Anolis sagrei: one gene and its partner. The protein of the gene in region 2 binds, or shares a complex with, the protein of the main gene of each other region. Links are inferred from orthologs where the notes say so. Each region holds a gene or a part of one and is shown on either strand. Other genes may lie near its edges. The genes, in order: ASB7 and LZTS1.

What was found.
Region 1: the proteins of LZTS1 (region 2) and ASB7 are in contact, whole or in part, in a crystal structure (PDB 8Y1U), measured with the Homo sapiens proteins. The link is inferred for Anolis sagrei from reciprocal best matches to the Homo sapiens genes LZTS1 and ASB7. Residues at the interface, in NP_001349813.1 of Homo sapiens: Arg346, Glu348, Leu349, Leu352, Met353, Glu355, Gln356, Leu358, Leu359, Glu360, Lys362, Leu363, Arg364, Ser365, Tyr366; in NP_937886.1 of Homo sapiens: Asn46, Trp48, Ala56, Ile79, Phe82, Tyr87, Met90, His91, Asp116, Trp118, Val123, His126, Tyr127, Ser147, Lys149, Thr151, Gln155, Leu156, Ile159, Arg160, Phe182, Arg185, Tyr186, Ile189, Lys190, Arg210, Leu220, Leu223.

Annotation. Positions count from the first base shown.
Region 1 is NC_090029.1:13,385,894-13,393,760, reverse strand, and holds the start of ASB7 (ankyrin repeat and SOCS box protein 7), read left to right. Parts: upstream 1-4,832; 5' UTR 4,833-4,981; intron 4,982-7,867. UniProt on the Homo sapiens protein: Probable substrate-recognition component of a SCF-like ECS (Elongin-Cullin-SOCS-box protein) E3 ubiquitin-protein ligase complex which mediates the ubiquitination and subsequent proteasomal degradation of target proteins.
Region 2 is NC_090027.1:14,588,888-14,596,433, reverse strand, and holds the start of LZTS1 (leucine zipper putative tumor suppressor 1), read right to left. Parts: upstream 3,120-7,546; 5' UTR 3,003-3,119; intron 1-3,002. UniProt on the Homo sapiens protein: Involved in the regulation of cell growth. May stabilize the active CDC2-cyclin B1 complex and thereby contribute to the regulation of the cell cycle and the prevention of uncontrolled cell proliferation. May act as a tumor suppressor.

The DNA of each region.
Region 1 (7,867 bases), on a different chromosome or scaffold from region 2:
AGTGAATGAAAATACATCCTGCGTATCGGATATTTACATTACGATTCATAACAGTAGCAAAATTACATTTATGAAGTAACAATGAAAATAATGTTATGGTTGGGGGTCACCACAACATGAGGAACTGTATCAAGGGGCCGCGGCATTAGGAAGGTTGAGAACCACTGTGGTAGACTATTATCTATCTTGTGGTCTACTAGTCTATATAAATAATATAATGATTGTACATTATATATTACATGTAATATTGCCAATAATATTGCTGTCCAGTGGTATAGTACAATATAGTAATCTATCATACTAATATTGTGCCATGGCAATAATATGATATATTGTATATACATATAATATGGGTAATAATATTACAATGAAATACTTTATAATACTAACAATAATACAATATAATAATATAAAATAATATAGTAATATAGAATAATATTGTAACATAATAATACTAAAATGTTAAATACTTTACTTACTTAAGCGATTTCTCGTTGGTCTTCCATGATCAGTATTCTGGTGGATCCGTAGGTGACTGTGGAGCTCTATTCTTGACCCGCATCTTCTCCCTCAGTGAGGGCATTGGTTTCCAGGTGGAAGGCGGTCTCGGTCAGGGTTGGCTTGACGCGCCTTCCTCTTGGCACGTTTCTCCATTTCACCCTCCATTCGTACCTCTTCAAATTCTGCAGCACTGCTGGTCACAGCTGACCTCCAGCTGGATCGCTCAAGGGCCAGGGCTCCCCAGTTCTCAGTGTCTATGCCAGAGATTTTAAGGTTGGCTTTGAGCCCATCTTTAAATCTCTTTTCCTGTCCACCAACATTCAGTTTTCTGCTCTTGAGTTCGGAGTAGAGCAACTGCTTTGGGAGACAGTGGTCGGGCATCTGGACAATGTGGCCGATCCAGCGGAGTTGATGGCGGAGGACCATCGCTTCAATGCTGATGCTTCTTCCAGCATGCTGACGTTTGTCCGCCTGTCTTCCCAAGAGATTTGCAGGATTTTCTGGAGGCAGCGCTGATGGAATCGTTCCAGGAGTTGCATGTGATGTCTGTAGACAGTCCACGTTTCGCAGGCATATAGCAGGGTTGGGAGGGGAATAGCTTAATAAACAAGCACCTTGGTCTCCCTACGGATGTTCCGGTCCTCAAACACTCTCTGCTTCATTCGGAAAAATGCTGCACTTGCAGAGCTCAGGCAGTGATGTATTTCGGTGTCGATGTTGACTTTGGTGGAGAGGTGGCTGCCAAGGTAGTGGAAATGGTCAACATTTTCTAATGCTACACCATTAAGCTGTATCTCTGGCATTGGAGAGGGATTGGCTGGTGACTGCTGGAAGACCACTTTGAGCACTTTGGTCTGTAGACAGTTCATGTTTCGCAGGCATATAGCAGGATTGGAAGGACAATAGCTTTAAAGACAAGCACCTTGGTCTCCCTAAGGATGTCCCGGTCCTCAAACACTCTCTGCTTCATTCGGAAAAATGCTGCACTCGCAGAGCTCAGGCGGTGTTGTATTTCAGTGTCGATATTGACTTTGGTGGAGAGGTGGCTGCTAAGGTAGCGGAAATGGTCATATTTAATCGTCAATTAAATATAATACTATGAATAATATATAATATATAATGACAATACTGCTTTTTATTATTGTACATGTTAATGTATTGTCGAAGGCTTTCATGGCTGGAATCACTCAGTTCTTGTGGGTTTTTTCGGGCTATATAGAACATGGCCATATAGCCCGAAAAAACCCACAAGAACTGAGTGTACATTTTAAGTTGTCATGTTTTTGATTGTGAGCCGATTTGAGTCCTCGTAAGGAGAGAGAAAGTGGGATAGAAATCAATCAATCAATTAATAAAATAATAATAATAATACCTGCGTGACCGCATCTCTGTATATGAGCCCACACGATCCCTCCATTCATCTGGAGAGGCCCTACTCACGATCCCACCTGCGTCACAAGCGTTTTTGGTGGGGACGAGGGACAGGGCCTTCTCTGTGGTAGCCCCTCCCCCCGACTCTGGAACTCTCTCCCCAAGGACATCAGACATGCCCCAACGTTGGCAGTCTTTAGGAAGAGCTTGAAGACCTGGCTGTTCAGTGTGCCTTTCCAGAATAGGAAACTCCCAGCATCATGTCCCGGACGCACTTTACTAGAGATTTAAGATTGCCTGCACATTGCACCTACTCTAAAATCCTTATATTTCACCTGTCATGTCCAGCACTTCTTAATTTTATTCATTACATTTGGCTCGGCCCTAGTTTTAAATGTGTCATGATGTATTGTTTTAATGTTTTACTCTTATTGCTTTAATGTTTTATTGGTTTGCTTTATGAGTTTTATTGTTGTATTTGTTATGTTGTTGTTTTATTGAGGGCCTTGGCCTTAGTAAGCCGCACTGAGTCCTTCGGGAGATGTTAGCGGGGTACAAATAAAGTTAATAATAATAATAATAATAATAATAATAATAAATCATTCCCGACACCAAGAGTTTTTGCTTGTTTGCATGCTGGTTGCACGATCATCTATGCTGATGATCGTGCCATTACTGCTCAACCAGGGAGCTTTGAGACGGTAAAACAGAAGCTCTCCGAAACTCTAGGTGCTCTTACTGCCTATTATAGGGAAAACCAGCTGATCCCTAACCCATCTAAAACACAGACATGTGGCTTTCATCTCAAGAACAGACAAGCATCCCAAGCTCTGAGGATGGCCTGGGAAGGAATCCCACTGGAGCATTGCAGCACACCCAAATACCTGGGGGTCACTCTGGACCGTGCTCTGACCTACAAGAAGCACTGCCTGAACATCAAGCAAAAAGTGGGTGCCAGAAACAATATTATACGAAAGCTGACTGGCACAACCTGGGGATCACAACCAGATACAGTGTAGACATCTGCCCTTGCGCTATGCTACTCTGCTGCTGAGTATGCATGCCCAGTGTGGAACACATCTCACCACGTTAAAACAGTAGATGTGGCTCTTAATGAGACATGCCACATCACCACGGGGTGTCTGCGCCCTACACCACTGGAGAAATTACACTGTCTAGCTGGTATTGCACCACCTGACATCCGCCAGGAAGTAGCAGCCAATAGTGAAAGGACCAAGGCAGAGACATCTCCAGCTCATCCCCTGTTTGGGTATCAGCCAGCACGTCAACGACTTAAATCTAGAAATAGTTTTCTAAGATCTACAGAGACACTCGCTGGAACACCTCAGCAAGCGAGAGTCCAAAAGTGGCAGGCTCAAACCCAGTACGTCAACCAATGGCTGATACCAAATGAGAGACTTCCCCCTGGGCACACAGAAGACTGGGCGACTTGGAAGGCGCTCTGGCACCACGAGATGCAGAGCCAACCTTCAGAAATGGGGCTACAAAGTGGAATCCTCGACATGCGAGTGAGGAGAAGAGCAAACCACTGACCCCCTGCTGCAATGCAACCTGAGCCCAGCCACATGCACAATGGAGGACCTCCTTGTGGCAACACCAGAGGCACTCCAAGTGGCCAGATACTTGTCAAAGGACATTTAATCAACTACCAAAGTCACAAGTTTTGTATTTAGGTTCTTGTGGGTTTTTTCGAGCTATAGGGCCATGTTCTAGAGGCATTTCTTCGGGAGAGGCCCTTCTCTCCATCCCGCCTGCTTCACAGGTGCGGTTGGCGGGAACGAGAGATAGGGCCTTTTCTGTGGTGGCCCCTCGGCTTTGGAATGCCCTCCCTATAGAGATAAGATCAGCCTCTTCGCTGATGGTATTTCGTAAAAAACTGAAAACATGGATGTTTGAGCAAGCATTCGGTTAACCCGATGCAAGGAAATTCTTGACCTAGGACCGGCAATTACTGACAATGAAATAGGATCATGATTAAATTAAGAGACGCATTGGTCTGTATTGGTGGCCCAATACTGTGAAGTGTATATGTATATGTTTTATATTTTTAATTGGAATATTGTTGTTTTAATGTTGTTGTAAACCGCAATGAGTCGCCGTTTTAGGCTGAGATATTAGCGGTATACAAGCGTACTAAATAAATAAATAAATTTCTCCTGACGTTTCGCCTGCATCTATGGCAAGCATCCTCAGAGGTAGTGAGGTCTGTTGGAATTAGGACAATGGGTTTATATATCTGTGGAATGGCTGGGGTGGGGCAAAGAGCTTTTCTCTGCTGGAGCTAGGTGTGAATGTTTCAACTGACCGCCTTCATTAGCATTTGAAGGCCTGCCTGAGCCTGGGAAAATCTCTTGATGGGAGGTGTTAATCTGTGCCTGGTTGTTTCCTCTCTGTTGTTTTGCTGTTGTAATTTTAGAGTTTTTTTAATACTGGTAGCCAGATTTTGTTCATTTTCATGGTCTCTTCCTTTCTGTTGAAATTGTCCACATGCTTGTGGATTTCAATGGCTTCTCTGTGTAGTCTGACATGGTGGTTGTTGGTGTGGTCCAGCATTTCTGTGTTCTCAAATAATATGGCTGACTTATCTGGTTGAAGTAGTCTGCAGTTTTGTATTTGTCTGTTTGTTTGCTTTGTTCTGTTAGAAATGTAATATAATGGACTGGTTGCTCTGACAGGACAAATAAATAAATAAATAAAAACCAAGAGTTTTTGAAAGTGGTGTCGCTTTGATGCCGGAAATGTGCAGAAACGTGTTGCTGTAAGATTTGTCACCCTCTTAGAGGTTGTGAAGGAGCAGAAAGGAGGAAAAAAAGTGGTCGAGGCGTTTGGGACGCTGGCGCCGTCCAATGGCGTGACGGCGCGAGGCGGGAGGCGGGCGCGGATTGGCTGGGAGAGGAGGTCAGGCCCTGCCCGGTGACCCCGGGCGAAAAGAGAGACAGGAAGGAAGCAGAAGGAAGGAGGTAGCAGCAGCAGCGGCGGCGTCTTCTCCTTCTTCTCCTCGCCTTCTCCAGCCAGGCGTCTCCTCCCGGGTCCCTTCTCTGCCTTCTGAATGAGGAAGAGGTGCCGGGAGAGGGAGGCTGACTGACAGGTAACGGCCGGCGCGGGGGCGGGACTTGGCGGCCCCTCGACCAATCCAGGGAGGAAAAGGCCCCCGACCCGGGCCTCCCGGGCCTCTTCCTTGGTGGTCGCGCACGCCGCCCCCGTGATGCCATTCGATGCCAGGAGTGGGGTCGCCTCTCACGGGATGCCAGGGTGCCTCCCACTTGACCAAGCTGTAGGGTGGGGATTGTTGTGATTATGACCATTATGGCCCCTTCCACACAGCTGAATAGAACCCACATAATTCTGCTTTGAACTGGGTTATATGGAAGTTGGGACTGAGGGCCCTTCCACACAGCCCTCTATCCCAGAATATCAAGGTGGAATATCCCCCATTATCTGAATGTGGGCTCTGATAACCCAGTTCAAAGCAGATATGGTGGGATTGTATGACTTGATATTCTGGGATAGAAGGGCCCTCAGATAACCCTTCCACACAGCCATATAACTCAGGACATCTAGGCAGATCATCCACAATAGCTGGTTTGAACTGGGTTATCTGAGTCCACACTGCCATATAACCCAGTTCAATGTGGATTTTATACAGCTGCGTGGAAGGGTTCTAGGGCCCTTCCACACAGCCCTCTATCCCAGAATATCAAGGCGGAAAATCCCACGTTATCATAGAATCCCACGAACTGGGTTATATGGCAGTGTGGACTCTTATAACCCAGTTCAAAGCAGATATGGTGGGATTCTATGCCTTGATATCCTGGGATGGAAGGGCCCTCAGATAACCCAGGCCCCTTCCACACAGCCGTATAACTCAGGACATCTAGGCAGATCATCCACAATAGCTTCTTTGAACTGGGTTATCTGAGTCCACACTGCCATATAACCCAGTTCAATGTGGATTTTATACATCTGTGTGGAAGGGTTCTAGGGCCCCTCCACACAGCTCTATATCCCAGAATATCAAGGCCCTCAGATAACCCAGGCCTCTTCCACACAACCGTATAACTCAGGACATCAAGGCAGATCATCCACAATAGCTACTTTGAACTGGGTTATCTGAGTCCACACTGCCATATAACCCAGTTCAATGTGGATTTTATACATCTGTGTGGAAGGGTTCTAGGGCCCTTCCACACAGCTCTATATACCAGAATATCAAGGCCCTCAGATAACCCAGGCCCTTTCCACACAGCTATATAACTCAAGACATCCACAATAGCTGGTTTGAACTGGGTTATCTGAGTCCACACTGTCATATAACCCAGTTCAGTGTGGATTTTATACAGCTGCGTGGAAGGGTTCTAAGGCCCTTCCACACAGCCCTGTATCCCAGAATATCAAGTCAGAAAATCCCACATTATCAGAGTGTGGACTCTGATATCCCAGTTCAAAGCAGATATTGTGGGATTGTATGCCTTTATATTCTGGGATAGAAGGGCCCTCAGATAACCCAGGCTACTTCCACACAGCTATATAACTCAGGACATCAAGGCAGATCATCCACCATAGCTGGTTTGAATTGGGTTATTTGAGTCCACACTGCCATATAACCCAGTTCAGTGTGGATTTTATACAGCTGTGTGGAAGGGTTCTAGGGCCCTTCCACGCAACTCTATATCCCAGAATATCAAGGCAGAAAATCCCACATTATCAGAGTGTGGACTCTTATAACCCAGTTCAAAGCAGACATTGTAGGATTGTATGCCTTGATATTCTGGGATAGAAGGGCCCTCAGATAATCTGGCCCCTTCCACACAGCTATATAACTCAGGACATCAAGACAGATCATCCACAATATATTGTCAAAGGCTTTCATTGCCGGAATCAACTGGGTTGTAGGTTTTTTCGGGCTATATGGCCATGGTTCCGGCCCAGCTTATCTATCCGAACGCATCTCTTCCTACGAGCCCTCCAGGAAGTTAAGATCATCTGAGGAGGCCCTGCTCTCGATCCCGTCTGCTTCGCAAGCACGCTTGGCGGGGACGAGGGACAGGGCCTTTTCTGTGGTGGCCCCTCGGCTATGGAACTCCCTGCCTAGGGATATTAGATCAGCCCCCTCCCTCCTGACTTTTCGGAAGAAAGTAAAAACCTGGCTCTTCGAGGAAGCCTTCGGAACCTCGGAATAGATAGTCAAACTTGAGATGGAGAATGACCCAGGAACAGCCAAGACGATGAAATGGATGAGGATTGGAATGAGAGGATATAGCTCTTTTTAAATTGTTATTGCACTGTCTTTTTTGTCTAAATGCACTTAATTGTTTTTGCTGTTGTATTGTATTGATGGCATCGAATTGTGCCGATATGTAGTCGCCTGCGGGCTGAGTCACCTGCGGGCTGATATGGGCAGGATATAAGTGATGTAAATAAATAATAAATAAATGGTCTAGAGGCATTCTCTCCTGACCTTTCGCCTGCATTTATGGCCAGCATCCTCAGAGGTAGTGAGGTCTGTTGGAACGAGGAAAAAGGGTTTATATATCTGTGGAATGACCAGGGTGGGACAAAGAACTCTTGTCTGCTGGAGCTAGGTGTGAATGTTTCAACTGACCACCTTGATTAGCATATAATGGCCTGACAGTGCCTAGAGCAAACCTTTTCTGAGAGGTGATTAGATGTCCTTGTTTGTTTCCTCTCTGTTGTTGTGCTATTGTAATTTTAGAGTTTTTTAATACTGGTAGCCAGATTTTGTTCATTTTCATGGTTTCCTCCTTTCTGTTGAAATTATTATTATTATTAAACTTTATTTGTACCCCGCTAGCATCTCCCGAAGGACTCGATGCGGCTTACAAAGACCAAGGCCTCAACAACAACAACAGACAATAACAATATAATACAAGCAAATTAAAAACATAAGCAATAACAACAACAAAACATTACACTATTACACAATAAAACCAGGGCCGGGCAAATAAAGGGTACA
Region 2 (7,546 bases):
GAAACTGAATTCCAACAGGAGAAATGTATGGTACTATACCGAAAGGTAAAGTGTGATGCGGCAGCTAAGAAAGCCAATGCAATTCTAGGTTGCATCAATGTGCACCTAGTGCGGAGTTCAGGAGAAGTCATCGCCCTGTTCTCTTCTGCTTTGATCAGACCTCATCTGGAATAACACTGTGCCCATTTCTGTGCATAGCAATTCAAGGACGTGGACAAGCTACAACACGTTCTGAGGAGTGCAACCAAAAGTGAGGGAGCTGGGTCTGTTGAAACATTCACACCTAGCTCCAGCAGACAAGAGTCCTTTGTCTCACCCTGGTCATTCCTTAGACATATAAACCCCTTTTCCTAGTTCCAACAGACCTCACTACCTCTGAGAATGCTTGCTATAGATGCAGGCGAAACGTCAGGAGAAATGCCTCTAGAACATGGCCATATAGCCCGAAAAAACCTACAACAACCCACTGGGTCAGTTTAGCTTGGAGAAAAGAAGGCTGAGAGAAGGAAACACCAGGGCCATGTTTACATTTCTGAAAGGATGGTGGAGGGGGTGAGCTTGTTCTCAGCTGTTCTGGAGACTGGGTTCAAAGGATAGGAAAAGAGGTTCCACTTAAACATTAGGATGGACTTCAGTCCTCAATGCTGCTGTTTTTCTCTAATGTGCAATTGTGTTTTATACGGATTGTTTATTTATGATGTTTTTATTTTATTTTATTGGTGCTTTTGTTTTAGTGGATTATTGCTTTTATGTATGTATGTATGTATGGTGGACTTTCTGTCCCATATGTAAGCCATCCCAAGTTCCTTTGGGGGAGATGGTGGTGGGGTAGAAGAATAAAGTTGTTGTTGTTGTTGTTATAGCAAGAGCTGGGCTCCCTGGTGGTACAGTGGGTTAAGCCGCTGAGCTGCTGAACTCTGAAAGGTTGGAGGTTTGAATTCACAGACTGGCGTGAGCTCCCACTGTTAGCCCAGCTCCTGCCAACCTAGCAGTTCAAAAACATGCAAATGTGTATAGATCAATAGGCACCACTCCAGTGGCATCTCCTTAATGCTTGGAGCTTCCGGACCGGGCTATCATACTATCACCGGCATTGGGTCCCAGCTATCATACTTTTGCCCCATTACGTCACCGCAGCTCCTTGGAGATGTGTTTGGACCTGATTACCAGGAGACCAGGTATGCCTTGAGACATCCCATCCCCAACCCTTTCACTCTGGACCCAGGAGCCTTTCTTCAGTGATAGTATAATAGCTGGGTCCGGAATCTCCAGGCATTATGGAGATGCCGCAAAGGTGGCTGTGAATAAGGGAAGAGAGGGGGCGGAGTGAGTGTGGGGAGAGTGAAGGGAGGATAGAAAGGAGGGGATGCTTAGGGTAAGGGTTAGGGCAAGGTTTTAGGTTTTGGATTAGGGTTACAGTTAAGGTACAGTCAGGGGTGGCTCAACCAATTATGCAAAGTAAGCATTCGCAGTATAGTTGATTTTGCCCAGGGGTGCTCTTGAGGCACTCTTGGGGGAAAATAGACCCTGACATATGTGAGTTGTAGTTACTGGGATGTATAGTTCACCTACAATCAAAGAGCATTCTGAACTCCACCAATGATGGAACTGAACCAAATATGGCACACAGAACCCCCACGACAAACAGAAAATATATATCAGTGATTGGTTGGGGGGGGGGGGGCAAAATAGTTTGCTTACCGTTGAAAATTACCTAGGGCCGCCTCTGCCCTTACCCTAACTGTAAGCCTAACTCAAACCCAAACCCTAAGCCTAGCCGTAACCCTGACCCTAAGCGTCCCCTCCTTTCTATCCTTCCTTCGCTCTCCTTGCTCTCCCTCTGCCCAGGGCCGTAGCCAGAAAAAGATTTCGTGAGGGGTTGAAATTTGGGGGGGGGGGGGTTTGAAAATTTCACAGGGGAGGGGTTGAAATCTGCCTCCTAGCTCACGCTGAAGCAAAGAGCACAGCAGGGGGCAGAGTACCCGTCCCTGTCATCCACCTCCACCAAGTCTGGCCTCCTTAATGAGAGCATTCAACACCCCCTCCCCCCAATTTGGTTGCTTCACTACATCGGCTATTGCTGCAAGTAATGACAGTGTGAATAAATTGTCAATATTTGCCTGAGATAGTGCTTGCAGTTCTGGAGGGACTCTTAATTTTTTGCATCTGATAGACTTAGCATGGGGATTTGGTTAACCAGTTAAAATTCATGAGTAAACCAGGTTTTTTTAAAAAAATCTGAAACATTTCGGGGGGGTGAACCCCCTCGCTACAGGCCTGCCTCTGCCCCTTCTCTTTCCTTATTCACAGCCACCTTTGCGGCATCTCCATAACGCTCGGAGCTTCCGGACCCAGCTATCATACTACCGCGGGCATTGAGTCCCCGCTATCATATTTTTTCCCCATTACGTCACCGCAGAAAATTGGATATGTGTTTGGACCTGATTACCAGGGGTCCAGGTATGCCTTGAGAGACATCCCATCCCGAAACCCTTCCACTCTGGACCCTGGAATCTTTCTTCTTTGCCTGCCTAGAGCTACATTCCTGCAAGCCGGGCCAAGAATGCAATCAACTTGGCGGCTGGAAACCCAAGAGGGCGCGCGCACAGCCCGGGGGTCTCTCTCTCTCTCTCTCTGTGGCGCGCGCTGGGACGCTGACGACATTACTGTCTGAGGGGGGGGGGGGAGGAAGAGAGGGGCTGCGCTTGTCCGGCTCGCCTCTGTGTTGACATGGCACGCGCGGGTCTTGCGTCTGAAGGGGACGGAAGGGGGAAAAGAGCGGGAAGAGCCCCTAGAGATGCCTCCCCAGGTCCCAAAGACCCCTTCCTTCCTTCCTTCCTTCCTTCCTTCCTTCCTTCCTTCCTTCCTTCCTTCCTTCCTTCCTTCCTTCCTTCCTTCCTTCCTTCCTTCCTTCCTTCCTTCCTTCCTTCCTTCCTTCCTTCCTTCCTTCCTTCCTTCCTTCCCTCCCTCCCTCCCTCCCTCCCTCCCTCCCTCCCTCTTACCTGGAGATGATGCTTTAGCTGAGATCGCCTCCTCTGCCTCTTTTCCCCTCAATTGGGGAGACTGACTGGAGTCAAGAGGGGGAGAGAAGGAACTGGGAGGCAAAGGGGGCGGGGCGTGTATTTGCATACCGGGCGCTAATTGGACAAAGTTTGGGCAAAGGAGGAGGGGGCGGGCTTTGTGCGCCGGGGAGGCAAGGGTGCAAGGGAGGCATCAATGGGTGTCCCAAGAGCCGGCACGTGTCGGGAGGGAGGAGGGAGGGAGGGATTGAGGAGGGGGCTCTGAGGCTTCTCGCTGCCAAACTCTCCCGCCCCCGTCCTTCCACATTTGTCGGTGGCTGTTACTGGGGAAAAACGGAGGGAAGGAAAGAGGGGAGCAAGGTGTTGATTGGAGAAGCCAGCCGAGCGCCCGCCGGAAGCGCTGGTTTGCTCAGCCTGGGGGTTGCCAGGTCGGCAGAATAGCCCCATTGGCAGCCAGGAAAGAAGGGGGACCTGGGGGTTCAAGGAGGGAGAACCCCAGCCCTAACTCTCTCTGCCCTGGTGCAGGCAGAGATGAGTCAAAAGCCATGCACATCTCTAGGTGGAAATGTGCTTTTATATCAGGTATGGGGCAACTTGGGCCCTCCGGGTGTTTTGGATTTCAACTCCCACAATTCCTAACAGCCAGTAGGCTGTTAGGAATTGTGGGGGTTGAAGTCCAAAACACCCGAGGGCCCAAGTTTGATTGTTGATTGGAGAAGCCAGCTGAGCGCCCGCCGGAAGCGCTGGTTTGCTCAGCCTGGGGGTTGCCAGGTCGGCAGAATAGCCCCATTGGCAGCCTCCGGGTGTTTTGGATTTCAACTCCCACAATTCCTAACAGCCAGTAGGCTGTTAGGAATTGTGGGGGTTGAAGTCCAAAACACCCGAGGGCCCAAGTTTGCCCATGACTGCATTAGGCTAAAAAGCAAACCAATAGGCTGTTAGGAATTGTGGGAGTTGAAATCCAAAACACCCGGAGGGCCTAAGTTGGCCCATGACTGCATTAGGATAAAAAGCAAATCGGTAGGCTGTTAGGAATTGTGGAAGTCCAAAACATCCAGAGGGCCCAAGTTTGCCCATGACTGCATTAGGCTAAAAAGCAAACCGGTAGGTTGTTAGGAATTATGGGAGTTGAAGTCCAAAACACCCGGAGGGCCCAAGTTTGCCCATGCCTGCTTTATAAGAAGGGACACCTGGTACCCCTATTCAGAGATACAGCAAATATCCAAGGCTGGGAGAAGATTTTCTCTCCATTCAAACTCTGTCTTCTTTTGTCAACATGCTTTAGTATGAGAAGGCCTCAGTGTTAGTTCACTTCAGTGTATGAGAGGTGTTAGTCTGAGAGAGCCCTCATTGTGAGAAGGGGTTCTGTAGTGGTTCATGTTGGGCAAGTGGGCTTATTAACCAAAGACCCTCCTTATCAATGTATGGCAGAGTAACTTATTAGCAGTGTGAGCCCAAAGTGATCAAAAACAAACAAACACATAGACCAATGTTGTCTCTTCCTTAGAAGGCTTTTTTATAGCAAAAAAGTATGGTTGCACTATTTACAAGAACACAATTTCCATAACACAAATAAAGTTCTTTACACTTCCTTCTTTGCTTCCATGCTGGGCTTCTTTCTCATTAAGATAAACAGCTTCGCTCTCACTGAGCTTCCTCTCATACTAAACTTAAACAGGAGCATCACACTGTAGCCTTTCACACACAGCATCCTCCACACTGGAGCTTTACACATGAGGCCTTCAATCTGGGGCTTCTCTCACCGAAGCCTTCTTACTCCAGGCCTCTCACACACTTGAGGCCTACCTCACACTGAGGTCTTCGCACACTGAGGGCTCTCTCAGACAAATGCCTCTCATACACAAGCCAGTTGGGTTTTGCATAGAATAGGAAGTGGCACCATCTTGATTTTTTGCTTCAGGTGGCACAATGCCTTAGGCCAACATCATCATAGCTTTCACTGGAGAAGGTTTCACTGTGGTGATGGTGCTGTTGCTGCTAATAATAATCTCTATCTACCCACTAAAATCTTAAAATCTTAAAAGATGATGCTGTCAAGGTGATGCATGCCATTTGCCAGCAAATATGGAAAACACAAGAATGGCCATCAGACTGGAAAAAATCAACTTATATCCCCATACTGATGCGGAGCATCTTTCCCCCCAAGTATTTGTAGTTCGTCAAGGGCCGGACAATGGATTCTGTTGCTTCCTGACCCAGCACACATAACTGGGTTCCTGTTTCCTCTCTGTGAATTCTCTGGCTTGTGTACTGGACCCTGGCCCCTGATCAGGGAAATGTAGTTTCCCAAAGGACACTGCTTCACAGATTGCAACCCAGAAGCCCCCCCCTTTGAACTCTCTTGCCTGCCCTCTCCTATTGACTTTCTGCTCCACATCCCGGACTGTTTTCAGCCACACTTTTGGACACAAACCTCAGACCAGGCTAGCTTGGAGGGACAAGCAGCCTCTAGCCTACATGCGCCTTCACCAAGGAGACTATGATTCCAACAAGAATGAAATACATTTATTATTGTTGTCTTTAATAAACTTTGCTGGGTTGGGGAAGGGGATTCATTTATGGAATGTATAAAGGATATGAAGCATGATGAGATGTATAAAATAGAAATCAATCATATGAAATGTACCCTGACCCTCTTCCCCACCTTTTTTCCCCTCTGAACCTTGCCCCAAAAAGGAATGTGACCTGAGGTTACTGTCAAGAGGAAATCCTATTTCCTCAAAGGTAAATCCATATTTGCATCTGCATGGCCGCAGTTGGTCTTATCTCAGGGCTCATTTTCAGAGTTCAGACAATGGGCTGAGAGATAAGTCAACAGAAACTCCGGTAAAAGGATGATTAACTCAACCTTTGGTATTTGTGCAGCTCCTTTGTTTACAGGGCTCCCCTGTTTACAGAGTTTTGAGATCCAAATACCATCATCAGCCCCTTTTCATATTTCCTCCAAATCTCATCAACAAAACCAGGAAGCCCTTTGTCCCCTCTGTCTGCCACCCCTTGACAAACACAAAGGCTCGGAAATCAGCTGGGGGACGCCTCCGGGGCGTCCCGCCTCCCCTAAGCTGTCAAACTTCATCCCGCCTCCTGGCCTCTGATTGGACCATCTCCGGAGGCGCTAGGAAGGCTCCGATTGGCCCCCTGGAGGCAGCAGCGCCCGCTGGTTGGTCAAGAGGCGGGACGTGCAGCCGAGCCTCCTCCCAGCTGTTCGGGGGCCAGCCAATCAGGGCGAAGCCAACCAGCAGAGGGTGGACGGGATTTTCAAACTGTTTTTCCTTTGTTCTGACAATATAAAAATGCCTGTAACTTCTATGAATGTATGCTTGTATGTGAACTATCACTACAATCGCATCCTTTTCAGCTGAATCGCAGAAATAAACGCTTCGGTCACTGGATACCTCTTCAGCCTCTGGTGGGATTAATTCTTAATATTTTGCGCTTTGGATTGGCTTTCGCTGGCTGCTCACCGAGGTCAAAGACCCCATTAGCGGTCTTTAGGGATCTCCCTTCCTGGGAGGGCCCCCCAAAAGAGCTCGATATCAATACCAAAAAAGGGAAATGCGAAAGACTGCTCAAACTTCCGTACAGTGGCCCTTATTTCTCATGCCAGTAAGGTAATGCTCAAGATCCTGCAAGGAAGACTCCAGCAATACATGGAGCGAGAGTTGCCAGATGTTCAAGCTGGGTTTAGAAAAGGTAGAGGAACGAGAGACCAGATTGCCAATATCCGCTGGATAATGGAGAAAAGCAGGGAGTTTCAGAAAAACATCTACTTCTGCTTCATTGACTATTCTAAAGCCTTTGACTGTGTGGATCATAATAAATTGTGGCAAGTTCTTAGTGGGATGGGCATCCCAAGCCACCTTGTCTCTCTCCTGAGGAATCTGTACAAGGACCAAGAAGCAACAGTAAGAACTGACCACGGAACAACAGACTGGTTCAAGATTGGGAAAGGCGTACGGCAAGGCTGCATACTCTCACCCAACCTTTTTAACTTGTATGCAGAACACATCATGCGATGTGCGGGGCTTGATGAATGCAAAGCTGGGGTGAAAATTGCTGGAAGAAACATTAACAACCTCAGATATGCAGATGACACCACTCTGATGGCCGAAAGCGAGGAGGAGCTGAGGAGCCTTCTAATCAAGGTGAAAGAAGAAAGCGCAAAAGCCGGGTTGCAGCTAAACGTCAAAAAAACCAAGATTATGGCAACAAGAATGATTGACAACTGGAAAATAGAGGGAGAAACCGTCGAGGCCGTGACAGACTTTGTATTTCTAGGTGCAAAGATTACTGCAGATGCAGACTGTGGCCAGGAAATCAGAAGACGCTTACTTCTTGGGAGGAGAGCAATGTCCAGTCTCGATAAAATAGTAAAGAGTAGAGACATCAGACTGGCAACAAAGATCCGCCTAGTCAAAGCCATGGTATTCCCTGTAGTCACCTACGGATGTGAGAGCTGGACCTTAGGGAAGGCTGAGCGAAGGAAGAGAGATGCTTTTGAGCTG